2 linked regions of the Oreochromis niloticus genome follow. The protein of the gene in region 1 interacts with the protein of each later gene in a pairwise test. Links are inferred from orthologs where the notes say so. Each region holds a gene or a part of one and is shown in the gene's direction. Other genes may lie near its edges. The genes, in order: gadd45ga and tsnax.

Evidence for each region.
Region 2: the proteins of gadd45ga (region 1) and tsnax interact in binary tests that used the Homo sapiens proteins (3 or more experiments, as listed by UniProt). The two-hybrid records come from large-scale screens. The link is inferred for Oreochromis niloticus from reciprocal best matches to the Homo sapiens genes GADD45G and TSNAX.

The regions. Positions count from the first base shown.
Region 1 is NC_031977.2:23,395,879-23,410,977, forward strand, and holds gadd45ga (growth arrest and DNA-damage-inducible, gamma a), read left to right. Parts: upstream 1-9,564; 5' UTR 9,565-9,672; coding exon 9,673-9,725; intron 9,726-9,844; coding exon 9,845-9,946; intron 9,947-10,069; coding exon 10,070-10,280; intron 10,281-10,423; coding exon 10,424-10,537; 3' UTR 10,538-11,103; downstream 11,104-15,099. UniProt on the Homo sapiens protein: Involved in the regulation of growth and apoptosis. Mediates activation of stress-responsive MTK1/MEKK4 MAPKKK.
Region 2 is NC_031978.2:23,830,032-23,846,109, forward strand, and holds the start of tsnax (translin-associated protein X), read left to right. Parts: upstream 1-8,795; 5' UTR 8,796-9,063; coding exon 9,064-9,079; intron 9,080-10,221; coding exon 10,222-10,308; intron 10,309-10,396; coding exon 10,397-10,511; intron 10,512-11,786; coding exon 11,787-11,917; intron 11,918-15,593; coding exon 15,594-15,715; intron 15,716-16,078. Other genes in the region: egln1a (egl nine homolog 1), read right to left, coding at 5,278-5,976.

The DNA.
Region 1 (15,099 bases):
TATTCAGCAAAGGAATATAGTACTATAATTATTGTAAATGATAAAGTAATATTCTGATTCAGATTTTGGAACTGGATTGGGCAATAACAAGATCAAATGGAGAAATTAGAAGGGTGGAAGACAAGAGTGAAAAGTTAGTCAGCAGCAGGAGGATGAGTTGGTTACTCCTTTAAAGTGGAGGTCAGATCTGACACTCAGGTCTTTGTGAGGCTGTCCTGTGGGTGCTTAAGGCTCTACACCTCATGGTTTGGTGATTTGCTTTGGTATGTGTTTACTTGCTGTTAAGCCCATTGTAATCTACTTTCTTGCTCTCCATATGACTCATTATTACTCTGTTTCAAGATTTAAATTATTTTAAAGATGACATTTTGGAGTGAATTTGTTTTATTTGTATCTAAAAGCTGGATCTCTACTATAGCTGGATAAGGTTGTCATAATGGCTTCAAAATTTTAAATCTGACAGTAAGTGTATGACACATTTCTTACAATGGAAGGAACATCATCTCCAAGTGTTGTCTCTGCAGTAGGAAATCAGTCTGTAGCAAGGGACCCTCTACCCCTGATGTGGTCTGTAAAAATATTTGATTTTGCATAATAATTTTATTACAGGAAGTTCTACCAAAGAAATATCTGTTCTTTTTTTTAAACTTTTTTTTTTAAATGGAATAAATAAATACTTTGTGAGAACACATTGCTTACCTTTTCATACTGCAGGACTGCTTTGAGAATTTTTTTCCTATTAAGACATGTATTAGGCACTCCAAATCTCTTGAGACATTTTCCCAAAAGCCATGCACTTTGTGAATACTGTAGGTCTTTAGACTGGTCCCGGGTTCAGCATACTTGTGAATGACCTCTAATATATTTGGCAGGGATTTTGAAATTGTCCGTGCCTTTTATGTAAAAGAGAACAGTGACATTAACACATCTTTGTTCAATCTGTATCACTTACACCACAATAATGTATCACATTATTTTTTGTTAAATTACTTGCCTTTCCAAAAACTGAAAAAGTGCAGGTCCTGAAATTTTGAGACAAATGAAAATTAATACAAAGAAAAACAAACCATATGAACATATCTGTTATCCTGAGATCAACCTTGCAATGCTGATCAACAATAACATATGAAACAGCATAAATGTGAACTCTTCATTTAAGTTTAATAGACTTCAGAAAACATTTTGGGGCACTCCAAGTACCCACACTCTAGTGATGTCCAAACGCATGATGCGGAAAAATCTTTTGGTGCATTTTTCTATGCCAACAACATAACTGGTAGCAGTTAGATTTTTGGACATACAAGTGCTAACTAACACAGTCCTTTTTAATGTTTATTTGCTAATACACTATCACTAAGTTCTAAGTTTTAAAATTCACAGTGCAAATTACTGTAATCAACACTATAGTTAAAACCACAAGCACTAATTCACTGTGTATAATACACATTCCCTACCTGATTTATTAGTATTAATAATGTTATACTCTGTTGGATATACATTTTGAGTGGCTCCTAAACCACAAAGACAAGCTGTTAAAGACCGTTGCTCTGAACGTATTTACAATCATTATCACAATCACAACGACATGAAAGACTCATTGTGTCAAGCCAATGAAAAATTTAAATCTGGTAATACCCAGTGCAAATGCTTAAAAGAGAATTTATGACCTTATGTGACAAAAAGACTTTTGTGAGATGAGTTATTTATCATGGTGAACACTGTTACTTATTATGGTTGTTTTACAACTAATCAACCAAACATGGATTTTGTTTTAACGTATTTTTTCGTACTACAAAATGTTACGTATCTTTCAATTATCTCAATGTGATATCACTTCTTTTTCTTAATGAATATTTATATTTAAAAAAAGATACAACATCAAAAGTTTTAACTACGCTTAAATGGAGTGTGTTACTTTAAATGTACGCCTAAGAGTACAAAATCTAATCTTAGGTAGGCTATATGTTATATTTCTATATATATATGCTCTCCATCGGTTAGTATATCAATATTATTAAAGTTTTCAAATTCTAAAAATTATGATTTTAGACACATTTCTGGATGAAGACTATATACAAAGCGCAAACAATCTAAAACAATTTTCTATAATTAGACTGAGGAAATAACTGGCATGAAATGGCTAGAATGTTCTCGTTTCTTGTTAATAGTTCAATTTTTAGTGTTAATTACTCACCTTTCCATTTTATTGTTGGTGGGTAAACCGAAAATTTTTGTCCACGTAGGCCTCGAAGAAAAGTTCAGTGTACTAATAATAAGTATATGTAATGACAGCGTAACCACATATAACCGTTCCTGTCGCAATGAAAGCTACGTTATCTGTCCGTACGATGCAACGACTCAATAAATACCGAAAGATCAAAGGTGGGTTGGCTATATGTCATGTGACTCTTGTCCCACACATCAGTTTGCATTGAATTAACAAAAAATAATAATTTAATTCTAATAATGAAGCAAAAACTAAAAAATGTTAAGGCAATGTACAACCTTTTAATGTCATGTATAAAATATAATCAAAATAGTATTGGCAGAAATATTTCTATGAGTTACAGTATGAAAAAACAAAAAAATGTATGAAACCTGCAATCAAAAGGCAAGATATTGTATAGGTAATTCATAATATTAATGTTAAAGACAATGAGTGTCAGAGAAAAAGACAAAAGCATATTGCTTAAAATATATTGTAAAAGATGTGATAAAGACTTCATATAAATTATGAGAATTGAAAATTGTTTTTATACCTCTAAGACTACTATTACTTATAGTAACATGAAAATTAACAAACAAAGAGGAAAATATTATTTTCTATTGGACAAGTGAGTGAGTTAGATTTTCAACGTTTGTGCACTTAACATATTTACTGAGACAATCAAAAATGAGCATGGAACAAGATCTGTTGCATGCCATGGCATCCAGCTCTGTGTTTTCTGTTACTCTTGTCTTTCACGTGTCAAGCCTCATTCTATTGTCCAATGCAAAGGTAATTGGCATGTCTCTATTGGCTGATCTGGGGAACAGTAGACCAATCGCTTGCCTGGGATAATTTAAAAAAACAGCTCCCAGGCCAGGTTGGCTTCTGACTGTCTTTGAACTTTTGTTAGTAGGTGTCTGTGTGTGTGAATAGAGTGTTTGGGTGTGAGGCTGGACAGATAAGATCGGAGTACCCCAAACACATTCAAATGAGCTTTAAGTGTTAAAAACACTAGGTTAGGCAGGTGATGACACTTTTGTATCCTGTGACTGACCTTATGTGTCAAGCAGCTACACAGGCCTTTGTTTTGCATATTATTAGATTTCCACTTTAGGGAAGCTGTTGGCATCTTTTTGTTTTAGTAATGTCTTTGATCTGGCTCAGCCGCCCGGTTCTCGTCCACAGCCTGTTTCTTTTGTTAAGCTACTTTTATCAAGGCATGGTAAATGAACAGTAAACCTTGCCTGATGACTAATCTTCCCGTTTCCCTCTCATTGATTATTTGGGTTGTCATGCAGAAGTATTAAACAATGCCTTTTATTAGAACATAAGCATTTAATTCAGTAATTTTATTTGAATTAGTCAAATATGAGTGGGCAACTCTGACCATGACAAGACTGCATTTGCTCTAAAAAATTAATACAAAATTTAGACATATTGTTGTCATTATTTTTACTCTTCAATTTTATGTGTTTTTTCTTTAAGATGGTATCAGAAGTTGCTCCTCCACCATAAAAAAAACCATCTGCATGTATTCTTTCACTACATCCACGATTCTCCTCTGTGGTCTTCCTCATTCATCCTGTTTGGAGCTTAATGTTCAACATCCTTTATCTATTAAAATTACAGAAGGAGAAGAAAATAATCATCAGAGCAGGAGTCATGATAAATGATAAATAGATTACTAGTACATACAAACATAACACTTGCATAATTTCTCTGATAACGCTGCATTGGATGGGTTTATTAACGGTGGGCTGAAATTGTACTACAGTATGCTGGTGAGGAACTTATTTGAGTGTTGAATAAAATGTCATCCGCAATCTGTATATGAATTGTCATTAAAACCATAGAGATTCTTACTTATAAAGGAAAGAAAGGTGGGACAATGCACATCAACATATAGTGTATATTTTTGAACATTACAAAGATACAGGTAATTCTGGGTTCACCTGAATTACAGATTAGACTGGTGGACAAGCAGAGATGTTGTGTACAACTGGTGACAGCATCAGTGACAGGGATGCCAAAAGGAAGAACAAATTAATCAGCAAGGCTGGAAGCAGAATTAGGAGGCGTCAGAGTCAGTGAGGGTCAGAGATCAATGAACAAATTGCCCACCTTCATGGATAATGCATCACCCTCAAAAGGATTCAAAATTTGGGCCATGAAGAACAGTTCAGGAAACCTATTTTATTGTTTCATCTGCGAAACTGTATAAATGAAATGTAAATTTTGTTAAAGGAAAACACATTTGTAAGCCATAAGAAACAAACATGCTTTGCATTATACCTTCAAACATCTGTATAGATTTCATACAATATTTATTAACTGAATTTCCAAACATGTCTTGCATAGTGAGAGTATTTCTTTTACTGATGATATGTCAATGATATGTATTTTTATGACTAAATAATACTCTATCGAACACCTGGCAATAACAGCAGGTGTAGCAATTTTGTAATTAGTTGTTTAAATTTGATATTATTTTAGGCAGTACATTTTCTTAGCCTTTGTCATACTCTGTTAACACAGCAGTCTCAAAAACCGTACAGTAAATTTGTCTGTAGATGACAGGATGAAGAGTGGACATGGCCTAGAGTCAGAATCCAGTGAAATATCAGTGTCACCTCTTATACTTTTCCTGTAATCTGAGGTCAAAGATTTGAATATATAGAGTACAGTAGAGTAAAATGTGCAAAGTTTACTATCAATTTCTCAAAAACCGTACAGTAAACTTGTCTGTGGATGACAGGGTGAAGAATGGGGGTCACCTAGAGTCAGAATCCAGTGAAATATCTGCGTCACCTCTTACAGTTTCCTGTAATCTGAGGTCAAAGATGGGAATATATATAGTACAGTACAGTAAATAGTGCAAAGTTTACTATCAATTTTCAGGAAAACCGTACAGTAAATTTGTCTGTGGATCACAGGGTGAAGAGTGGAGATGGCCTAGAGTCAGAATCCAGTGAAATATCTGCGTCACCTCTTACAGTTTCCTGTAATCTGAGGTGAAAGATGGGAATATATAGAGTACAGTAGAGTAAAATGTGCAAAGTTTACTATCAATTTTCAGGAAAACCGTACAGTAAATTCGGCTGTGGATCACAGGGTGAAGAGTGGAGATGGCCTAGAGTCAGAATCCAGTGAGATATCAGTGTCACCTCTTATACTTTTCCTGTAATCTGAGGTCAAAGATTTGAATATATAGAGTACAGTAGAGTAAAATGTGCAAAGTTTACTATCAATTTTCTCAAAAACCGTACAGTAAACTTGTCTGTGGATGACAGGGTGAAGAGTGGGGGTCACCTAGAGTCAGAATCCAGTGAAATATCTGCGTCACCTCTTACAGTTTTCCTGTAATCTGAGGTCAAAGATGGGAATATATAGAGTACAGTAGAGTAAAATGTGCAAAGTTTACTATCACTTTTCTCAAAAACCGTACAGTAAACTTGTCTGTGGATGACAGGGTGAAGAGTGGGGGTCACCTAGAGTCAGAATCCAGTGAAATATCTGCGTCACCTCTTACAGTTTTCCTGTAATCTGAGGTCAAAGATGGGAATATATATAGTACAGTACAGTAAATAGTGCAAAGTTTACTATCAATTTTCAGGAAAACCGTACAGTAAATTTGTCTGTGGATCACAGGGTGAAGAGTGGAGATGACCTAGAGTCAGAATCCAGTGAAATATCTGCGTCACCTCTTACAGTTTTCCTGTAATCTGAGGTGAAAGATGGGAATATATAGAGTACAGTAGAGTAAAATGTGCAAAGTTTACTATCAATTTTCAGGAAAACCGTACAGTAAATTCGGCTGTGGATCACAGGGTGAAGAGTGGAGATGGCCTAGAGTCAGAATCCAGTGAGATATCAGTGTCACCTCTTATACTTTTCCTGTAATCTGAGGTCAAAGATTTGAATATATAGAGTACAGTAGAGTAAAATGTGCAAAGTTTACTATCAATTTTCTCAAAAACCGTACAGTAAACTTGTCTGTGGATGACAGGGTGAAGAATGGGGGTCACCTAGAGTCAGAATCCAGTGAAATATCTGCGTCACCTCTTACAGTTTCCTGTAATCTGAGGTCAAAGATGGGAATATATATAGTACAGTACAGTAAATAGTGCAAAGTTTACTATCAATTTTCAGGAAAACCGTACAGTAAATTTGTCTGTGGATCACAGGGTGAAGAGTGGAGATGGCCTAGAGTCAGAATCCAGTGAAATATCTGCGTCACCTCTTACAGTTTTCCTGTAATCTGAGGTGAAAGATGGGAATATATAGAGTACAGTAGAGTAAAATGTGCAAAGTTTACTATCAATTTTCAGGAAAACCGTACAGTAAATTCGGCTGTGGATCACAGGGTGAAGAGTGGAGATGGCCTAGAGTCAGAATCCAGTGAGATATCAGTGTCACCTCTTATACTTTTCCTGTAATCTGAGGTCAAAGATTTGAATATATAGAGTACAGTAGAGTAAAATGTGCAAAGTTTACTATCAATTTTCTCAAAAACCGTACAGTAAACTTGTCTGTGGATGACAGGGTGAAGAGTGGGGGTCACCTAGAGTCAGAATCCAGTGAAATATCTGCGTCACCTCTTACAGTTTTCCTGTAATCTGAGGTCAAAGATGGGAATATATAGAGTACAGTAGAGTAAAATGTGCAAAGTTTACTATCACTTTTCTCAAAAACCGTACAGTAAACTTGTCTGTGGATGACAGGGTGAAGAGTGGGGGTCACCTAGAGTCAGAATCCAGTGAAATATCTGCGTCACCTCTTACAGTTTTCCTGTAATCTGAGGTCAAAGATGGGAATATATATAGTACAGTACAGTAAATAGTGCAAAGTTTACTATCAATTTTCAGGAAAACCGTACAGTAAATTTGTCTGTGGATCACAGGGTGAAGAGTGGAGATGACCTAGAGTCAGAATCCAGTGAAATATCTGCGTCACCTCTTACAGTTTTCCTGTAATCTGAGGTGAAAGATGGGAATATATAGAGTACAGTAGAGTAAAATGTGCAAAGTTTACTATCAATTTTCAGGAAAACCGTACAGTAAATTCGGCTGTGGATCACAGGGTGAAGAGTGGAGATGGCCTAGAGTCAGAATCCAGTGAGATATCAGTGTCACCTCTTATACTTTTCCTGTAATCTGAGGTCAAAGATTTGAATATATAGAGTACAGTAGAGTAAAATGTGCAAAGTTTACTATCAATTTTCTCAAAAACCGTACAGTAAACTTGTCTGTGGATGACAGGGTGAAGAATGGGGGTCACCTAGAGTCAGAATCCAGTGAAATATCTGCGTCACCTCTTACAGTTTTCCTGTAATCTGAGGTCAAAGATGGGAATATATATAGTACAGTACAGTAAATAGTGCAAAGTTTACTATCAATTTTCAGGAAAACCGTACAGTAAATTTGTCTGTGGATCACAGGGTGAAGAGTGGAGATGGCCTAGAGTCAGAATCCAGTGAAATATCTGCGTCACCTCTTACAGTTTTCCTGTAATCTGAGGTGAAAGATGGGAATATATAGAGTACAGTAGAGTAAAATGTGCAAAGTTTACTATCAATTTTCAGGAAAACCGTACAGTAAATTCGGCTGTGGATCACAGGGTGAAGAGTGGAGATGGCCTAGAGTCAGAATCCAGTGAGATATCAGTGTCACCTCTTATACTTTTCCTGTAATCTGAGGTCAAAGATTTGAATATATAGAGTACAGTAGAGTAAAATGTGCAAAGTTTACTATCAATTTTCTCAAAAACCGTACAGTAAACTTGTCTGTGGATGACAGGGTGAAGAATGGGGGTCACCTAGAGTCAGAATCCAGTGAAATATCTGCGTCACCTCTTACAGTTTCCTGTAATCTGAGGTCAAAGATGGGAATATATAGAGTACAGTACAGTAAATAGTGCAAAGTTTACTATCAATTTTCAGGAAAACCGTACAGTAAATTTGTCTGTGGATCACAGGGTGAAGAGTGGAGATGGCCTAGAGTCAGAATCCAGTGAAATATCTGCGTCACCTCTTACAGTTTTCCTGTAATCTGAGGTGAAAGATGGGAATATATAGAGTACAGTAGAGTAATTTGGGTAAAGTTTACTATCACTTTTCAGGAAAACTGTACAGTAAATTTGTCTGTGGATCACAGGGTGAAGAGTGGGGGTCACCCACAGTCAGAATCCAGTGAAATATCTGCGTCACCTCTTACAGTTTTCCTGTAATCTGAGGTCAAAAATGAAGATACTATAAAAGTACAGTACTGTATATTGGTTAAATTTTATTGTTAATTTTCGCTGAATTGTACAGCAATTTTGGCTGTGGATCATGGGGTGAAAAGTGGAGATGAACCAAATTTGGGAGTGGATTGTAAAGTAATATAGTGTCAGGACACAAAAGACTGCGTTTCTTAGCCGGGCTTCATCCGTACCGTAATATACGTAAGAGTAGTGCAACCACATTTTAGGTGCGGCTGGCGGGGCGGCTAGCTTGACTGTGACTTCGTAAGTGAGGGCTCACTTGACCGCAGTGACGCGCCAAGCAGGTGCACCGGGAACCGGTTGTTTATTAAGAGCAATGGAAAGCTGCACAGGGAAAGTTCGGATAGATGATATATATAAATATCTCCCCAGTGACTCTCCAGACTGGGGAAATCCGCTAGTCCGCCAAAGGATTGTTCCAGAGTTTATCACACATCAAATTAATCGTCACTACTGTTTTAATGCGGCTCACCCACAGAAAAAAGATCCGCCAATTTTCCCTCGGCTAATCCGCACACTCAGTTCTGTTGTCACCTGTAGGATAGTCTGAATTCTTCTATGCCCACTGTGGAAAAACACGAGGCGTAATAGTTACATAATTCCAAAAACCGGGGATGTTGCTATCGAATGGTAAATAACGCCTCTGCAAACGATGATAATAATAATAAATAAAAGAGAATCTCTTAGAATGTCTGCGCTGTGACCTATGTGTTTTCTGACTATCATAAACATGTCAGCTTGTCCAGGGGCAAACTGAAGCCACAGTGGTTCAAAACAAAACAAAACAAAACAAAAAAACTTCATATCACCGTGTTGTTTGCAATGACTGTGAAAGTTCATCGTAAACAGGACTTGTAGTTTTTGCCCTTAGTGGTGATGCTGGATGTTGACAAGAAAAGGAGAAATTGGGAGTGGGTGGGGGGGATTTCTTGAAAGGTTGTAATCTTGCCCCACGTGGGGCTGTCAACAAGATCAGTTCGACTGCTCGGGGACTTTTTTTCGCTTTCCTCACCATAAGCTCCTCTGAGCCAATGGTAGGAGACAGGCTCGGAAAGACCGCCCCTTGCCGAGAAACGACGCCAAGTGCGGTATAAAGCCACCCACAGACCGTTCAGAGCTCAGAATAACGCAAGAGACTACACAGACAGCTACACAGCCTTTTCTTAACACTGCAACATCCCGATTGCGCTTGGATTATAACTATGACTCTGGAAGAGATTCACGGACAAGAGAACACAATGGAAAACGCTGATAGGTGAATATTTTACTCATCGATACAACGTTATTTAAGCTCCTGGATTAAAGCGCTGTAGCTGTTATTTTTGGGGAGGGTAATGTGATCAGTGTGCTGATGATGTATTTTTCTTTGTTAAGGGTGCAAAGTGCAGGCGCAGCCCTGGAGGAGCTGCTGATCGCTGCTAAGAAGCAGGACTACCTGACAGTTGGAGTTTACGAATCTGCAAAAGTCATGAATGTGTAAGTATTGCATTTCGTGCCACTTTCAGTTACATTTGCCCTTTAAAAAAAAGAAAAGAAAAAAAAAGTCGAGCACACGCAAAGCAGGATATGCACTAATCACCTTTCTTGTCTTTCCTACAGTGACCCAGACAGCGTGGCGTTCTGCATTCTCGCCACCGACGAGGAATACGAGTGTGACATTGCTCTTCAGATCCACTTCACTCTCATCCAGGCGTTCTGCTTTGACAACGACATCAACGTGGTGCGTGTCAATGATATCGACCGCCTGGCCGACCTCGTGGGTGCAGATGAAACAGGCGAGCCCAAGGACGCACACTGCATTCTTGTCACGGTACGTTCCCACTCAGTCAGGAGCTGGCAGCTAGTGAATCATGCATGCATCACTACGGTGTCTGACTTTTTTTTTTGCATGTCTTGTAGGTGTTGCCACTTTTCTGACTCTAAATATCTCCCTCTTTTTTTTAACAATTACAGAGCCCTAGTGCAAACCCATGGAAAGACCCTGCTCTGGACAAGCTGAGTGTGTTCTGTGAGGAAAGGCGCAGTGTGTATGACTGGGTGCCCACCATCACTCTCCCAGAGCGCTGAAGTGACACCCCCCTGCAGTTGCTTCACATGATTATGATGATGATGATGAAAAGAAAGTCAAGGAGCTGAGCTTCAGCTGGGGGGCCTCATGCCTTTCTGCCTCACATGTCTGGATTAAGAGGCTGTGGCTGTAACTCCCCCCTTCTGCAAGAGCACACTCTTCCAGTGCATCCTGGGTGAGCCCGTTGGTTCTGGATTACCCTGTGCAAGGGTTCAGAGCTCATGTGTGGACTTGTTCAGGTGTATGTGGAGTGGACAGAACGCCTGAAGGACACTGAGAATGGAGCTGGACTGTACTGCATAGTACATTAAAGATGGCAAATGGTGACCCAGTGACTGCCCTTTAACAGACACTGGTGGGACTAAGCAGAGAAGGTCACAGAGAGCGATACTTTGCAAGAGATGGACTTAAGAAAGTGGACTGGACTCGTCAGAGGGGGAACAAGTCAGGTGCAGATCCAGAAGAAGGCGTCTGAAAGTGTCTAAACAAAGGACTTTTCTTTATGAGTGCAGCTGTCAGGAAGTTCTTGGAATAAGCAGAAACTGCTTGCAAATCCTGATGTAAAGCTGACACTTTTTTTAATGGACTATTCAGTTTTCTTTCACATGCAGACAGAGCAATGCAGTATTGATTTGTATTGTACTGACTTGAAATGCTTTGTGAATAAACATTTGGAATCAAACTCATCTTCTCAGAAATCTCATTTTCTCCTTTGCATTTAGCTACACAGACATTAACTAACACCCAGGGTGCCACATAATGTGGGACGTCATGGCAGACTGCAATGATGCAGAGGTATCAGGAAAGTGTGGCGCTACTGGTTACAACTCTGCTTCACAAGAAGCTAATCGCACAATGTGGGTGGAAGGAAAGTAAAGATCAAATGATTGGGTGGCAGAGAGAGAGAGAGAGAGAGAGAGTAAAAGAAGAAAAGCGAAGCTAACAGTTATAACGTAATGATGATTGAAACGTGGGCTTTTTTGCAGGCACTGACCTTTTACTGCTGATAAACCAGCTGCCTTATAGCACAGTGCACAATTACTTAGGCTGGAACTGAAGCCTGTGTGTGTGTGGCTAACTAATACGTCAGTAGACAGTGAAGTTAGTTGTAGTTTAGTATATTCAAACAAAGTTGTTACAAATTAATTTAACATCACTCTTCTCATGCTTGATTTTTATTTTTAAAAAGTCAATTTTCAACAACTTAGGACTTATGCATAATACCTGGTAACAAATATAGGGAAGGTCTTCCTATTCCTGCAGCCACGTGCACACACAGCCACATGCACATTGAAAATTATACCGAGATGAGAGCTGCAGCTGAATGAGGGTCAGCAGATCAACAGCGGCAGGTATGGGGAAGTGTGTGAGTGCTGCGGTCAGCTCAGAGCTCAAGCTGACAGTAAAAGGTAGCCCACATCAAAGAGAAACCAGACTTCAGAGGAACTCATTTCGATTTTCTTGGCAGCACCTCAGTCTCCAGCCAACCGCTGGTCATTCTCTGCATGTGTACTCGCATGAGCTCGCATGAGCACACAGGTGCACACAAAGCATGAAGCAAAACAGGCTACTGCATGTGCACACTCTTGCACAAAGTTGTGCTCAAGATCATGCATAGCACACATGCACACACAACCAAAGGATGCTGTGTTAGACAGATGTCAGGTGATTGCTCAGTGTTCTCAGAACAGAGGAAGGTTCACTCAGTCAGAATTAAAGAAGAAAAAAGAATGCAGACTTGTATCTGGGGGACTTTCCATGGGCTTTAATATCTGCACTAGTAGGCATATGGGAGACTTGGGAAAAATTACCATGAATGCTAAATGATAAAAACTAATCATTTTATTGCATGTGCTGTCAGATTTGTAGATTGGGACTATACGGGCTTGTGGGACAACGATATGAAGACTAATGTGGTTGGTGATCACTTGTTGTCTGTGGTTGGTGTGCACTGGATTCTGTGATTAAACATGAAACCTAAGCATATCTGAGTGAGAGATGATTGTCCCTACCTATAAAAGTCCCAGCCAAGTCACAGGTCAGATGAGGAAACATGTAAAACATTTATAACAGAGGCCTGAAGAAATAATTCGATTATTTTTTCTTTATTTTCCACACCTTTCCAAAAGGCTTTTTGTCCAAACAGGTCAGTGTTCTTCAAGTAGCCTTCTTTGTTTTCTGCAATAAAAATAAAGAAAAGGCGCAGCAACAGCAGACACAGTTGTGTCTAATCTTGACCTGTTTTTGCAAAAAGCAATATTTAATGCCCCAGATAAGACCTATTTTATCAAGAATATAAATGTTGACTAAATTATGTGGCCTGAGTAAACAAAGTGTCGTGTTCGTACAGCAGTCACAATTAAGCATTTAGAGTATTGTTAACTAAATCCTTGACCTAGTTTAGATAGAAGTTAGACCAATGGTCTTTGGTATAGATCTGATTTTTCTTTGTTATCTCTAAAACATGCAAGTATGCATCTCTCAGGCCTACATACAGCAATAAACATGCCTATATTATGCATAATATAGGCCTAATTCCTTGAGCTTCAGCTCATACAAGCACTATGCAAGACTAGAAAACAGCGATATGCTTGTATTTATTCTGCATTACTTTTGGATACAGGTATAATGTGTGCTACAAGAGAACAAAAAACTAGCTGCTGGAAAGGACTTCTTGTCTCTCCTGCTGCTATTTGCACGGTAGTAACAAACATCTTCTCCCTGTGTTGGCTGGGATGCCAAAAGCCTGGAGCAACAGTCCAGACTGCTGAGGCAGCCGACTGTCTGCACAGAGTCTGAGCCAGAGATCTAGAGCCACGATAGACTGAAAGTGAGGCAATGAGACCAGACAGATGTAGTCTGACTTGGGAATATTAGTGTTTTCAGCTGTGACACAGAAAATGGTAAACAGAGTAGTTTGAGTAGTAGTTTGGTTTTTAAATTATTTTAATTCCAGTAAGGCTATTCACTGGATTTATTCTGCACGAGGGCACAACACTTAGCCAGGAAAGGCATTTTCTCTACTTGAAACTTTTAATGCTTTTTCCAAATGTTACAAATTCCACCTTGTACTGTTAGTAGAATAAAAATGTCACATGTGTGTTTAATCTGTCCAAAAAGCACTGTAAAGGGGCTATGCACGGGACTTTTTTCTGGGTCAGTGCAGTGACTTACTGGACACTTTAAAAGCTGCATGGATCATTCCCCATAATGGCAAAAACTCTAGATGCATGCGATAAAGCTTCCGATTGAATTGCGGTATATAACAGTTTTATGATTTTCTAACCAGCTCTCAGCAAAACAGTTCATTAGCTAAAATGGAAAGCTACTGTTTTTGAATGTGAGCTGTATTTGAAAGCAGAATTACTTTAAGATTGATAAATTGTGAAAAAAAGATCCTATTTCCAACTTAGAAACAATTCCTAAACTGATGAATCTCCTTTAGTTGACACTGACGCACTTGAACAAGCCTGGCGGTTGGTAATGTGATAACCTTTTGTTCATCCATCCATTTTCTTCTGCTTATCCAATTCAGGGTCACAGTGGGGCTGGAGCCTATCCCAGCTGTCACGGGGCCAGAGGCTGGGTACATCCTGGTCAGGTCACCAGTCTATCACACATAGAGACAAAATACCATTCACACTCACAACTGAGGCTAATTCAGAGTCAACAGACAATTTAATGTGCAAGTTGAATTACCCAGAAAGTAACTCCACACGGAAAGGCCCCAAGCTGGCCGGTGGATTTGACCCCAGAACCTTGTTGCTGTGAAGCAACAGTTCTAACCACTGCATGACTGTTCAGCTGAAAATGTGAAAATGTGATGATGCTAATAGGGAATGCCTTGCTTTCGCCTGGCTAAGAGCAGAACTGTGTGTTGTGCTGTGATGTCAAAATATCTAAATGCTGCTTTTTTTGCCTGGGGAAATGATACAGCATGTTTTGCCATCTTGGGATACCCCAAACATTTGCAGGCTTGTGGTTCAACTGTAAATATTCTGCCCTTCTCAGATCCATTACTTTCACGGCTAACTCTCATATTCCTGCTTCAGTCCACTTACAGTAACCACCGCAAGATGAGATTACGCGACGAGCCGGCAGGCAGCATCCCCTCTCACCCCACCCATCTCCAGCTCTCTTGCTCGCGCTTGCCCAGATATGGTACCATGAGATCACGGCCCAGCTGGCCCTGGCAGGCTGCGGAGAGAGATAGAGAGATAGCTAGGCTGACTGCTGGTGTTGGGTGTCTCTAATCTAAGTATGGGGTGTGTGTGTCACTAACTGGAGAAATGAGCTGCACCCTATCTACTTCTGCAGTTCACTGTTTCTCACCATGAGCTCATTCCACAGAAGCTATGTGATGAACCGGCACAACATGCAACTTTTAGAAGGCCTTAGATTGACGGCGCTGGGAATTTCACATTGCTGTGGTGGCCAAGGTGATTCCATAACAACAATATGTAAACACACTTTGGCTTCTGTTTGTGAAGAGTCACTATCAGTCTGTCAGTATGATATCACTCAGGCGGTTTTTGAGGTTTCAGTCAGGCTGGGGTAGCTG
Region 2 (16,078 bases), on another chromosome or scaffold:
AAAACAACACTGTAACGAATGCTGGATTAAATTAGATGCATTCATCCCTCTCTCTGGTATGTCACACTGATTTAGAAATCAGTCTACGTGGCTTAGACCACGCTATGGTTTTAATTAAAAGAATGGTATCATGAGCATTTGAAGAAATCCACAGATGGATTACAGGCTTTGAGAGGGGATACGTGACCACGATGGGTGAGCCTGAGCGCTGACTAATTCCTGGACTATTTCTGGTCAACAGTGAGATGGTTAAACAATAAGCAGGATAAAACCAGGCATGAAAGGTGCTGCACTTAAGTGAAGCTGGTACTGTAGGCCGACGGAATGAGCACCTCATGGAGCCTATAGCATAACGTATAGCTGGCCCCAGCGCTCAGAGGACCACTGTCACATGACTTCCTCTTGTCTACTCGCTCTGTAGAGCTTTAAGATTTAGGTCAACGGTCAACTTCCTTCTGAAAGCACATGTCCACACGTCGCTCTGTGACAGAACAAATGACAAAAGCAAATAACTGCCAACAACGTCAAAACACTGTTGTCAAACTCTGTTGATAGGGAAGGGGTCTGTCCAGTTCTGTCCTGTTTCAGTTGAACAGCTTTGAAATGAATGAACCGAGTAGATGCTTTCATAGCATGAGAAAAAGATTTTGAAAAAACAACGGAAAATTGCAATACCGCATACCGTATTACATGCTCACAGCCTACATCAGTAACAGCTTTACAATTAAACTTCCTTAAAAGTCGTCCTTTTCTTGACAATTTACAAATGTGTTCTTGATGAATCAATTAGTGCCCAAAGACAATATAAAAAGCAAACACAACATATTTAAATGTTTATCTTTAATCTAACAGTCTATTACCAAACTACAATGCATTTACAGACAACTAAAACTAACAAAACCTGCAAATGCACACAATTAAATTATATCTATGGGATGTATTCCTTGCTGAAACAACTTTTAAAATTATCGCATACACAAGGAAGCACTAAAAGAAAGCAAGCCCAGAAAACTGTTTGTTTGTTGTTGTCTCTAGGGCTTGCCTACAGTTATGTTACAGGGGGATGTTTTTTTCCACAGCTGACCCGTTGTTTTTCACAATAAAGAGTCATGTTTGAGACAGTAATGCAGCTGGAATCCAGATATGTGTAGCTTTGCAGCGCCCTGACTATCACATGAAAAAAAAGGACCAAAAAAACAAACAAATCAGGAGCTACATCTCCCTCGTGTGTATTGGGCTGCATTATATTTGAAAACTTGAGCCGCTGTGGGACCTCATTACAGTATATACAGTGTTTAAATTCAGTACTGAGTCATATTTCAGCATGCTTAACACGGCTATCATGTTTCATGTGAACGGCATAACTTTAATAATGTCAGCTTTGAAAAGTAGCAGTAAGGGTGTTTTATTATGGAGCCTTAGCTTAGCTGGCTATTCTTTTATCATGTAAGACAGACTAACGGTAGCGTGGAATAAGTCAGTAACAGGACAATTATGTTGCTGCTACAAGCTTCTTTAGGTTTCCGGATAATGTTTAAATGGTATCAGAGAGCATTCAACATGCTGGATCTGCAAAGAAACAAACATGTCCCGCTGCCTGCAACTTCCCACAGTGTTATCAAGTGAACGGGGGAAATGGAAACAATGGCATTTAATAACTATTTGGGCAAAATCTTTTTCCTCTGTCTCTCCCAATGCGAATTGTGCTTACATTGTGTCGTATCCCTTTGAGCCATTGATACTTGCGCCCTTTCCATTTGTGCAAGTCATGCTGATATTTGCTGGTCACAGTCCAGCCGTGTGTTTGCCAAGGCAACTAGGGCAGTAGGCGAGGAAGTCAAGTTCTCAGTAGAGTGTGAGTGAGCGGCCAGCTGCGTGGATCAACAGCACAACCTGAAATAATGTGCTTTCTCCAAAACATTTAGGCCTACTAAGAAACAGCCGAGGGGGGGAGTAGAGGGGGGACCGACTGGACAGGAGAAGCAACCTAAAAATAACAGCGTACGGCAACTAGAGCTGTGCCAGCACAGAAAAACAAGTACCTGGAGCGAGTAAAGGCCACAGACTTCAATCGAATGTGGGCTGTTTCACCACTAGATCCTTTAAATGTCAAGAGCTGTTATAACAGAACATGATGTAACAAAAGTAGATCAGGGACTACTCTTAGTGTATCATTTTTAAGCGCTAATTCCAGTTCTGGTATAGTCTGTTATTTCCCTCTAAAAAGATGTGACAAACACATCTCAAGGCCAAAGATCAAAGAAGTCCTCAAAACTGCTTAAAGCTTGTCAGAAAGGAGTTTTTTATATGCAAAAGAGTAAAAAGATAAAATAAGTTTACAGATCAGGATATTAAATACTGAAATTGTGGTAAAACTCAAAGAGCTACGAAAGGCTGCTTTCTGCCATTTAATTGTTAAATTGTATTTATTTTGCCATGTATAAGTCAAACTTATCTCAACTTAGTAACTCAAACTTTTGATATGATAAACTGAAATTTCAAGTTACTAAGATGAAATTTATATATATATATACATATATGTATATATAATCTGAATTTTTAACTTTTTATTTATTTATTTGTTTTTAATTTTTTAACTGGATGGAAAAATTATTATTTTAAGTGGCATAAAGAAAAAAACCATTAGATGCAATAACTGTTAATAAGACCTTAAATTTTTTTTAATCCTTTTTTTTTTTTAAATGTACCAGATTTTAATAACACTTCTACAAGAAATCTGACCTTATTAAATGTCATAATGTTTACTTATTTTTAAACTATTCTAAAAAATGTGCTGATTTCACTATATGGTGTTTGTTAACTCTGAAGTTAAATCATGTTTAATCTACACACGATTTGGACAAAACGTTACAAAAAACCCTACATTTTCCCAAATGACCTTTAAGTTTATGTACTACTCCAATATCTCAGTAAAAATACCTGCTGGTTTGCAATGCTTTGAACCAGTTTCAAAGTGTTAGTGATTTATCTGGAGAAAGTAAAGCTGTGAGCTTCAGCTCTTTGTTATTCACTTCACGGCCTCTGTGCAGGTCTCCTAAAGTGTACGAGCCCACAGCCGGCACAGCCTCCACCAGCAGCAGCAAGCTTCCTGTGGTGTAGGCAGAAAACCCTAACCCTTGTGAAAAAGACTTTGTGGTCAAAAATACCTGTCAGTTTAGCCATAAACCTAGGCCACGTATTCCCCACCCCACTCACCTCTTATTCACTGATTTATTTATTTTTCATTTTGAATTAGATTTAAAAACTAAAGAAATCGCTCTGAAAAACTGATTTAATCTCAAACAGCTTGATGTTTAGGTTAATAAATAATTATATTAAACAATCAAGATTATAATATTAACTAAAATCATTAAAAAAATGTTCACAGTCCAGCAGCTTTTATTTATTCTCAACCAAGAGAGCAGATATTTGTGATGGCTCCATCCACTCCATCAACTGTGTGACTACAAAGTTGGTTTATTTCTCTAATATTATAATAAAAGGCCCGTTGCTTTAGTGTTTTTTGCTTCTAGCCAGATTCAAAGTGATGTTGCTAAACTTCTAGTTAATAGTGACTATAGCTTTCAGAGAATTTCCCTCAGGAGAAGAGGAGGAAGAGGAGAAAGCCGGAAAGCACCTCGTCCTCTCCTGAAGCAGTCTCATGCTATAAGGCCATGGTGACCAGATCTGTCAAGAGTCGCAGGTCACACGCAACCATCTTTATCCACTAGACAGCACTAACAGTTAGGAAAAAACAAACCAGGTGCCAGGAGAGCTTCTGAACCCTAGCAGCTCAGCCTGAAAAAACGAGAACATCCGACAATTAAAAACAAGTTCTTAGAAAACACATTTTAGTGAAACAGAAGCTACCCACAGCTTCCTCTTCCCCCAGAAACACACAGGTTTTCTTCTCAGTATGGGAATGCTGCCTAACCAAATACGTCTGTGCGTGACACTGAACTTATCACCACAACCTGTCACCACTAAAGCGATGTCAGAGGTCATAGTGAGCCGCAGTAAATTCTCAGTAGAATGGGGCCTCGGGCTGGTTTCTGCCACATGGTTGCAGCTTCTTCACATCACTCACATTTTACCAAAAACAAAAGCTAAAGTACAAACATATGAATGCAATATATACACTCTGATGAGCTGGACTGTCTTTGCTGTTTGTGGATGTGGCAGCATGTGTTAGCTGTGTTAGTCGTCTCACTGGTCAGAATGACCTTCCTGAAACTAACGCAGTCTGTCACAACATAATAGCTCCGCTATTCACTGCTTACTAAGGTGCTTTCAGCGAAATCTGATCCCTGATTTGGAGACTGTGCTTTCTATATCTGATTCTTTCCCCATCACGTTTATTTTAAATAGAGCACCAAACATAATTAAACAGCTACGAAACACATCTAAAAACCAATAGTCATTCAAAATATGAACAATACACACTTAATGGAGGGAGGATTTTAGCAGTTTTTGTCTTAGGTGCATTTACTTTGCATAATAACTAAGAAACTGAGTGCAACCTGTAGAAGTGAGGACTGGATTTGAGCAGTAATCTATGGATAATATGGATTAAGGAATATATTCTGTAGGCATCAGAAAGCTCAAGTATTTACACATCTAATATACTTTTTTTTTTTTTTTTTAAATCATTTTAGGCTAGAATAAACAGTCCAGCATGGCATATGCTTGCAGCTGCTTGCTAGAAAAAGCCACGAGACAACAATGTGCCTCGTGCTTTGCTTTCATTAGATTTCAGCTGGATTTCATTTGATTCAAAGATGCTGCAGACACGTGATCTATCCAAATTTAGTCTTTCTTATTGGTTGAGGTATTGCGTTTATTTAAAGCAATGATTTGAGGGTGTCTTTCTATTGCCATGGCGACCGAACACGTGCGCTGTCTGTGCACACTCTTCATGCGTCCAAAACAAAACCATTAACATGTGAGCAGCACCAGCAATCACCTTTCTGACTCAGAGCAAAGCCAGAAGAGGACTCGGCAGCCTCTAACCCGCAAAGTCGAATCTAATTAGCAAACAGGGCTGATCTATTACACCTAATAGCACCTTAACGACAAAGTGGGAGGAAAAAAAGCTTCTGCAGAATGATGCATCCCTGTTAGAAATCTGTGGTACTTTTGATTTCATCCCCACGCAGCCAGAGTACTGCTGCTTTCCTGACCTTGTAGTGTGTGTGGCAGGTGTCACACCAGCAAGCCTCTGGCTCCTGGGGGATGAATGCAGTAGATGCGCAGTGTGCGCGTGTGCTTCGTACTTACCTTTGTTCTTCCATTTATCGTATAGTTTCCCAGTTTGCCATTACAATGTCTAATCAGGTCGTCCATGCGATTCATTAGAAATTGGATCCTCTCGCAGTGGGGCTCCTTGCCATCGATCCACGTGATTTTATCACCTCGGATGTCTTTAGTGGAGTCGCTCTTTTGACTCACCAGTTGACCGTCCGTGAACTTGCCAGTTTCGTACAGGGCCTTGACATTTTCAAGAATGCCCAGCCCGATCTCTGCTCCTAAAAAGTCGTCCACCACACAGATGCCGTGCTTATTCATGCACGGCACTATGCACTCCAAGGCAAGTTTCTGCGGGGATAAGCTGCTCTGTCCGTTAGGTGTGGCAGTGCTGTCAGACCTATTATGTTCAGCTCTCACTTCAATTCTCAGTGCTTTTGTGTTTGTACTTGTGTTTGCACTGTCCGCTTCCTCGGGGCTTTGCTCTTCTCGACATTTCTCAGGCGTCTCGTCGTCCCCAGGCTGCGGTGCCTGCTCGGGCTTCTGTGCAGGCAGCTGCGGCTTGTCCGCCTCCTTACAAATGAGCTTGTGTTTCTTCCAGTCCTGCTTCTGGTGCTCCTTGCTGCAGTAGAAGGAGCTGCGGCATCTACCGCACTTAAGAAGGTTATCAAACCTCCCGCAAAGTTCACAGTACTGTCGGTCTCGGTCCAGCTCGCTCTGCGGCTTCTCCATGTTTTGAGGATACAGGAGGCGTACTGCTCCTTTAATACCGATCCTTCACGCGCCTTGCTAATCGACAACTTTGGAAACGACCCGCCGCCGCTGCCACGCTGATACCCAGGGGAACCAAACACTCAAAACCCAGCCATTTTATCGCACTCATGTCCTTTTCTGCCTCGTGTGTCAGTGGAATAACACGACAACGTGCGCCCACGGACCAGCATTTAGGGGTGGGTCGAGGTCTTTGGGAGGCATTTCTGCAAGCTAGCTCTACTTCCCGGGGTAATGGATGGCGCCGCTCAGAGTGTGCTCAGCCAGCCCTGCCCGAGGACCGGCCCGCTCTGACGTCAGCACAAAGGCACCGCCTCTCTCGTGCTGCCTTCAGGTGCGGTCGGACAGACAGTTGGCGGTGAAAAAGTGGCGTGCTCGCGACACGTGGAAGTTCATGTTCAAGTCTTGTCGGGGGTATAAAGGGAGCATGCGCCTCTGGTCAGTCAGTAAAAAGTGATGTAAATATGTTACCCTATCTGTTTCAGTTATGCAATATATTCATGTTCTCTAACAGTGCAGAAAATTAGCTCCACCAACCATGCAGTAATAGGTATAAATAAAAATCCGACATGCAAAATGTGCAACAGACTGAAAGGACATAAATGCACTTTTATACTTTGAGTACACAATCCAGTATAATAGGTTATAAATCCAATGTTGCTTTCTTTATTACTTTCCCCAATACTGTAACACTGCAATACTGTGTAATGGCAAATTAAAGGTAGCGCTGTCATTTAAATTTGACGCAAACCGCTTACAGATTTGTGGAAAGGACAAGCAAAAGAGATATAGCCATATGGCAAGTGTTGCTTCAAGCATCACTGACTCGTTTTGTGCGCATTTCCTATCGAAGCAATAGTATCATATAGCCTAAATCATAAAGTAAGAAACCAGATTCTGATGAGCATTTGTCTACCTGAGTGTGGTTGTGCTGTTGTAATTATTCTATATTAAGCAAAAGAAGCATCTAAAAACCTGTGTCGTGCCAAAAAGTGATTTCTGTTATGTGCCAAAAAAATAATAATAAAAATAAAAACATAATTGGAGGTATTTACGTTGCTGCAAATGACTAATAATCTGCTAAACATACCACTCATGAATGATAGCAAATCGTTTTGAGCCCTGTCACCTTGTGATGTTAAGCAAGTCAAATATGTCGTTAAAATTAAAATGTCAAGAACTAACATCACACTTCTATAAAGATATTTTAATTGGCCAAAAGGGACTGGATTATAATCATGATGTTGATGCAATAAGATGGAGTCATAAAGATTTTTTGCAGAACAAGTCGTTTCTTCGTTTTATATATAACCCCTTCGTGACTCCTGTTGACTATAGTCTATTTATGAGAAAAAAGACATAATAAAAACAGAAGAATCGGAAACCAGTTTTTGGCACAAATCAGTTTGTAGGAGCTTGAAGGGAGCACCTGAAGGCATCTCCAGTCAGCAGCAATGTGTTGTGCTCTCATTCCTGGCTCGCATAGGTGAAATTCCTTTCGCACAAACAAAAAGTTAAAGAGCTTGCTGCTGTTATGATAGACAGATAAGTTGGGTGGTGTGCAGTTTATGAAACTTAGGATTGTGACAGACCGGTGACTTAAATCACTTACTGGAAGCCATAATGGATAACATTTTAAATTTTATGAAGCATGGAGATACTCATATAAATATTCTATGACAAACACCTGTCATTCATCACAACGATAAGTTACATTGTTTTGTTTTTTTCATCTGGGTCCTGGTCTCATTCCACAAATATAATATACACAAAACAATCATCCACAATGACACACCAAAGAGATGTAAAACGGTAGTAAAGAGACCAAATGTCAATACGAAGATGTAAAATGACTAAAATGAGACACAAAGTGAACTTAAAGAGATACAAAGTTACAACAATGACACATAGAAAATATAAATAAATAAAATAAATAAATACCCCAATTGTCACTCAAAATTAGATAGTAAACCCAAACGTGATGATATGTACATTTATCCCAAGAGAGTGGTTGTAAAAAGATGAAAGAAGTATCACAAGTGAAAAAACAACTTCTCGGTGATGTTAGATGACCACAGGGAGACACCAAATTTTAAATTGAGACGTGAAAATAATCATGAAAAATGAATGAAAACAAACGTATGCAGTAAGCATCACACAGCAGTGGCCAAGATTCAAAAAGATGCACAGATGGTTAACAGAAAACAATCACAAATCACATCTGCAGGGCATCCAGTAAAGACATTTCACTCATCTGTGGAAGAAGTCAGGGTGGAACTTTTTGTTGAAAAGACAAGTAATCTGCTAAACGTTGATTTAGATATTCGATGGAATATCTAAGATACCTGTTATTTTAGGTTGATAGTCTGGAGAATTTCTACGTTTGAATTTTGACTGGAAAGAGAAAGTTCTGTGTGGCACACCTTTCTTTTTAAATTTGGTATGGGAATATCTAATTAGTATACATGGCATCTTCAAGAACTTACCTAATAGTTATAACGTTTATAACGTCATAAAAAGCGATTATTATGTAATTATTATAAATGTAGCTATTATATGTTTGTATTGTTTTTAAGAAATTGTGTTATTATTATAAATGCAATTGTTATATAATTACGCCAGATATTTTCGCTACTTTCTAAAATCAGATTCTAATTATTTAAAAATTATTTAATTATTTAAAAATTAGTAATAAGGAAAACATTGTAATAAAACTAACTCCTGATTTTGCCATTTAACTACGTATCCCGTGATGCATCTCTTTGAATTTCCTGCTACGCGTGTAAACAGCGCAAAAGCCCCGCGATGGACTGAGGTCCGCACCAATGCCTGTTATTAAAACCAAGAAAACACCGTTTTATTCGCGTTAAAATATATGCAGGCTCTACTAATTTTGTTTTCCATCGTCCAGAGAACATTATTTTTTCTGCGTAAAGCGGAACTATTTTGTTCTTTGTTTGTAATAATGCTCAACCTTTACGTTTGACTGGCACTGGCGTTAGTGGTTAAAATACACCCCTAAAAACTGTGCACTACAACACCGAAGCTATGAATAAACGAGAAGGTAAGTCCAAGATTTCTTCCTTCTAGTTTCATGAGTTTTGTAATTAACTAGCGAGGCTAAAATAACAGTAGGACTAACATGTGATAGCGTTTTAACCTACCTACTCTGCCTAAGTCAGGTTAATGAAATCATTTCATGGTAGTAACAGAAGTAATAAAGTGCTAATCCTGTTCCATTAAAATATCTAAAGCACATACTAGTGCTTTATTTGTCTGGCCATTAGAAGTGGGAATCACGAGAAACCCCACAAGAGAATATCATCATAATACGTCACCTACGATACAATAGTATTGTGATTTTTTTTTAACGTTTTGCATTACGCTAAGTATCACATTTGTCTTTTTCAACTGCAGTGTATGCATCATTTTAAATAAAGTTAACTCACTTTCAATATTTTTTTGCTGCAAAAGCGAGATTATAATGCGTGCCAACACTGTCACTAAAATCTGCCATAAATGTTTCTATCAGTCTCCGATTGAATGGGGTCAAGTTGGCAATTACATGCAATCTGTACACTCACGCACTCAAACTCTGAGCAGCCATTTGGTCACTACAAGTTGCCATTGGCTGCTGAATGGGAAAAATCTCACCAGGCAGCCACTGTTGTTGTCATTTTTTTTGTACATACAAGAAATTTACTGTCCTATTTTATTTGTGTGACTGTCAAGCCAAGTGTGTCCAGTGTTTGATGTTTCTTCAAAGTGGTGCATGAGATGAGCCGTCTCATTTTTAGTATTCCTTAAGTATTTTAATTTATTTAATAAAATATTGATATTTGGTGTCCCTGTAGCGATACAAATTCACGATATTATGCTGTGTCCATATTTTTTCTCATCCCTACTGGCCATCAATCCAAGCAGGCGCTTAATAATTATAAGTAAAAAGGTGAATTTAGGCATTCTCTTCTTAAGATATCAACAGATCATGTCAGCTGTTGCAGGTTATATTTTGGGTCACTTGAATATTCCAACCACATTTTAAAGAGGGTTCTCTATTATTTTTATTTATTTATTTTTTTTTTTACTGCATTTCATTTGTCATTGTGGAATTCTGGGAGTTAGATTTATTGTATGTTTTTTCAATTTACCAAAAAGTCAGAGGCAGTTATTATTTAAAGACTATGACATCATCTCTACTGTCAGGTGAGGGGTGTTCACGGAGAAATGCAGATGCAGCACAGGAGCACGAAATGAGTGCCAACCCCTCGTCTGTCATGGCTGCCTTCAAAGGTAACAGCAGTATTCTCACTGCACTTTGCACCCAAATGGTTTCAATGTTATATTGCCTGCACTGAAACATTTCTCTGTGTATTTCAAGGTTTCCAACAGGAGCTCGACACCAAACATGACAAATATGAGCGTCTTGTTAAGATTAGTCGCGACGTCACAATTGAAAGCAAGAGAACCATATTTCTTCTGCACAGAGTGACCACGTAGGTGTTCTTAACAACAATATTCACCGCATAAATGAGTACTGTTAAGTCTATAAGTCTTTGGGATGAGTACTTTTTTTGTACTTTTGCCTCTGTGCACCAGCACAGTGGATTTTTAAAACAAACAATCAAGATGTGATTAAAGGTCAGACTTTCAGCTTAAATTCAAGGGGTTTAACAAAAATATTGCATTAACTGTGTAGGAATTACAGCCACTTTTATCCACAGTCCCCCATTCTCAGAGGCCCAGTAATTGTACTGTTGACTGAGGCAGTTCAGGTGAGGCCTCTTCCTAGATTATTTCATGATAAATACAGCAGACATGATATCTGAAGTTCATTCAACATGTTGAAATTAGGATTTTATAGTTTTTCACTTTAATTTTAAACACCAAGGCCAAAAAAGATCATTAGGCATCATTAGGCTAAAAAAGAAAACAAAATAAACCTGTCAAAGATAAAGCCAGATCAACAATCTGATACATTATTAAAGACAAAACATACTAACTAGTCCACAGAAGACAACTAAAGTGGATGATTATTGACAGTCACCCTTCCGCCGTGGCCATTTCTGATGAGCCACGCAGTAAATGATATGCACAGCAGCCAATGTCAAAAGAGAAACATTCAGTAGCCTGGAAAACTATTGCTCAAGACCAGTTTAAAAAAAATGACGATGCAAAATATGAAGAAATGAGGGGCGGCTCAGGACAGAAGTATCTGTAGTTACTAACATTTAATGCAAAATTTGGGTTAATCCCCTTGAATTAACGCTGAACGCACATATTGATTTTCTCATTGTTCTAAACCCTTCAGACATAACTGTATATCATTTTTTTTCAATGGGGCCTGCTTCTGATTTTAGTTGGTGTCTGGATACTACAGAGTGTCTTTTTTATGTAATTGATGTAAACGGCAGCTTTGAAAATAACCTACCTATCATTTACATTGTCTCTATTCAGTACAGATATTGTGTTAGGAGTGTTGTAATGTTTGAATATATGCTTTGGAATAATATGAAAATATCTTGACAAAACATATAATTCATTGTCAATGAAGATCTCAGAACAGCATCAGCTAAAAATGTAATAGGACTTTAATGAGCCTCACAGGGGGAAAATAATCTTAAAATGGTAAATGATCTTTAAAAGGGATAAGTAAAAACAATAAATACATTGGCATTAGTTTTAGTGGTCATGCAACAAAGTAAGTCTGAAACAAAATAAGTAGTTATATGTATTTTGTACCTTTTAACATTTTTTTTCTGTGTGTAAAGTGTACCAGATGCAGTGGATATCCTGAACGAGGCAGACATAAAGCTGGATGGAGTCAGGCAGAAGATTGGGCAGATTGCTGAGGAGCTGAGAGGAGAGGATATTTATCAGTTTCACAGAGCCTTCACACCAGGTGAGTGGTCATTTACTTCTTTTCGTTTATATATAAAGCACATATTTATTCTGAAAGAAACTGAATTCTTTGAAAGTGGTGTTTTTTCACTCTAAAATGGTTAATGGGCTGTTTAAAGTCTCCTGCCACACCCAAGTGGATTTATTAGATTACGGTGCCATGGGATACAAGGCACGTGGCCCTTTGTGTGTGACTCACTTAGGTCATATCTGATGTAAATTCCACTAGAGGTGTTTGCAAAAATTATAGCTCACATTCATTGAATCTCCTTCTTATTATTAAGCAGTAAGTATTATTTTGCTGTTTTAATCTTCATGAAGTACAGTAAGGGTTCTAATAAATATACGTTTAATATAATAATAGGGTGGAAGGTCCTAAAAGGTCATTCAAACCCATTAAGTACAGAAAGTTAGCACAACTAGCTTGCGTTGTATAATGCAGCTCTGATAGAAAGTCTTTACTTCTGATTGGTTCACTCAACTGCCTTAGAGTGACGATAGTGTCAATCACCCAAAATAAGAAGTAGACAAAGAAATCTAGAGTTAAGGTGAGATATGAAACTATAATATATATTTTTTTATCTGTTGATGTAATTAATAATTTCTTTTTTATGGTTTGTACTTAAATGATTTTCTTTCATCTTCAATAAAAGTCAGTGACAGTGTTAAAGCATGACCTTGATGCAGGCCTGGATGTGATGGTCACGCCTTCTGATAAAGTTGTTTTCAAACTAGCATAAGCACCACTTTTTGTTACTGTAGCCATAATGTCTGCAGGGAAGGAGAAAAACATGACTGGCAGTGGGAGCTGTTATCTAGCAGCTGGGGAAGTCATTTTTAGATTGCGGTCACACAGGAATCACTGCTGCATCCTTCGCGACGTGACCAATGCCAGTTCCCACCAATTAGCCCTTTTATTTTTTTCCCCATTTTCATCGTCTTTATTAGATTGAGGCTGGGCTCGATGCACGGGCCCTCCAGATAATCTTGGCTGGAGGAGAAGTCTCCAGGCATGTGTAATGGGTCTGTTTTTTTTATATAATGACCATCAAAGATATTGTGGGCTAAATCTGACCATAATTGCCACTGATAACAGAGCAGCGTGGCATTTGGGTAAGCTTTTTTGTTGTTGTTGTTGTTATTTTTTTTTTACCCTGCTAGCTGCTATGAGTCAGTGCAAACATACATTATCATGTGGAACTTTTCACGTGGCTCACCTGCAATTCAGTGAACCGCTCTGTGGTCAAACATTAGCTCAGTCCAAAAATCCTCAGTATTCTCAGTACATGAATGTGCGCCAAACCGCAACGGTACTGTTTGCGCATTACTCAAGATCTGATCCTGCCAAGCTATATTCGCACCCTCGCCTCTCAACTTTTCCTACCACCATGCCAGTAAAATCTCTCAAATTTCCACTTTTGTAGCTCTTAGTCACTGTTTAGACACGATGTTCTGTAAGGTTTCTGCGAGCCTCGTTGACCAAAGGTAACTTCTGCTTCAGTATAGACATAAACAACTCCTGACAGTAAGTGCAGGAACTGGGCTCTGCCTGCCTGCCTCAAAGCCTTATTTAAACTGCCTTGGACTGTGGTGTTCCCTCTGTGAAAGTGGATCCACTGGCAGTGTTTAGCTGGTAAGCATTTTTTTGTTTAAAGAGTCGAAAACAATTGCCAAATAAACACTGGGAGGACGTAAGCATAAAATAAAATACAGTATTTTGCAAAAGCCTTTAGCCACCCCTCATTTCTTTATATCTTGCATGGAAAAATTGAGTTAGGTGCTTTTATTTATTTTCGAATTTCATATGTCAGCATTAAGTGGCTTAACAATCCAAAAACATTCCTCTGAAAATGGTCAGGTCAAAGCACTGGACTGAAAATCAGAATCAGAATACTTTATTAATCCCTAAAGAAAATTATGTTATGTATATAAGTGAAAAAGTAGCCAATGGGCAAAGGAAAAAAAAAGGAAAAAAGACCTTTAGAAAGCCTGGAGAAAAACAATTTAAAGAAATGAGAAGTGGCTAAAGACTCTTTAACAGTACTATAAAATTATGTACTCCAGGTAAACAAGTTTCAGTTTACCATCTGTTTGTAACTATTACTAGTTAATCCTCAACTTAAAGTTGCAACTACACTTACAAACTACTCAGTTTCACTTCAACTGTTAATGCACAATTTTAAGTAACAATGTTTCACTGCTAACTATACTGTTAGCAAAAAAAGGAAAAAAATGTTTTCAATCCAAATTTATTCATAAAAACAACAAAGATGACTAACATGAAACAAAGAGTTACAGAATTAAAGTAAGACATGCTCCACACACACACACACACACACACACACACACACACACACACACACACACACACATCAACAAGCACATTCAAGGAATTACAAAAAATACAAGCAATAATATAACAGCCTAAATACCTAAGCTCTCACTCTGGGTTAAGAGCCAAAGAATAAAAATGTTTGTTTTTTGTTTTTGTTTTTTGTTTTTTTACCACTGGCTACTTTGTTGTAACTGTTAACAGTTACAGTGATTAGATAAGAATTTATTTTTCTTTAAAAAAGATTTTTTTGATAATGAATTGATAATTCATCTCATCTAATTTTTTCAAATTATTTCTCGTTTTCCTTAATATGCTAGTTTATGTTGCTTTTGCAATACTTGGTTAACTGTTAACTTTTCTGCTCCAGCTTGTTCAGATCAGTTCAGTTAATCAAATGCAAATTGTTGACATAATGTTTCCATGTAACCCATACAACTTTGAGAATTAATGCTGCGATATGGTTCTGATAAGTCTTTTTTTTAAAGACACAAATGCTTTTCTATGTTTGTACGTAGAGTTATTAGGTAATTATCAAATTGAAGTTCTGAGTATCAGATTTTGCTGTTGTCTCAGCAGGTGAATTTGTGATTTGTCAGTTACTAAGAAACTAATAGAAAAAAATCAGTGATTTTTCTATAATTTTTTATAATAAACAAAACGTTAAAGTGAAGTCATGATGACATAATATAGATGATCATCGATAGATTTTATGCATTTATTTTACAAATCCAAATAATGAAGTAGCTGCGATTTACAGTTTTCATGTTTTCCCTGCACGTTAGTGTTGTGTAGTCGGTCGTCCCACTGCCTTTGACTTTGTGTACATGCTGGTGTGACTGGACTGAAATCATAATCAGAGTGGTGAAAGCTATTCAGAGTACAGTGAAGATAAAGTATTCTTGCTGGCTCCGTGCAGCGCATTGCGGTCAGTAGGGAGAGATAGCAGGCTCTTTGAAGTTCAACTGCCGCTCCAAAAGTAAACTTCAGACACAAAGTCTTCCGTCCTGTGATTATTGGATTGTTGTTTACCCAGGGGCAGAAAACAAATGAGGGGTCATCTTAGCCCACCAAAAAAAACAGCCACTGTTGTTCTATCAAAAGATAGAGACAGGAAACAGGTTTTATTTGAATCATTATCTCCATCTGTGATCTATACTGTGCAGATTTCATGTTGATGCTGCACGCTCTGCTTGCTACGCTCATTTGATACATGGTCATTTTAGTAAATTGCAAAAAAATGCCCCAGCCACTGTCAAATTTAGTTTTAGCAGCACAGTGAAATAATCAGGTGAACATGCCATTGTTTTACTCAGATCCATTTTAATGTACTTTAATTCATCAGGGATTCAGGAATACGTGGAAGCCGTCTCTTTCCTGCACTACATCCGCCATCGCAGCCTTATCAGCTTGGAAGAGATCAACGCCAGGCTGGTGTTCATGAACGCAGAGAAGGCAGATCCTAAGGTAAATCCACAGAGGACTGACTGAACATTAACAATTTGTGAAGTATTTTCTTAAGCCCCAAAAAGTCCTTAAAAGAACTGTGACATTCTGGAAATTATATTTTGTCGCTTTCTTGGTATCAAACTCTGTTTGGCTCAGAGAGTGTATATAAAATAAAACTTGGATGTAGCCACTGTAAGGTCACTGTTAGATTGGAGACTCCAAATATAGAAACTTCAACATTAATGTTTTTGGCTGTGGCCAGAGTGGTTTTATTTTTGGATTGTTTTTCCTTTTCTAAAGCAAGATTGACTGTTTATTTTTTACAGTTGGTGGGTGTCTGTTGATCCACACAAAATTACTTAAATCTCATTAATTTGCATT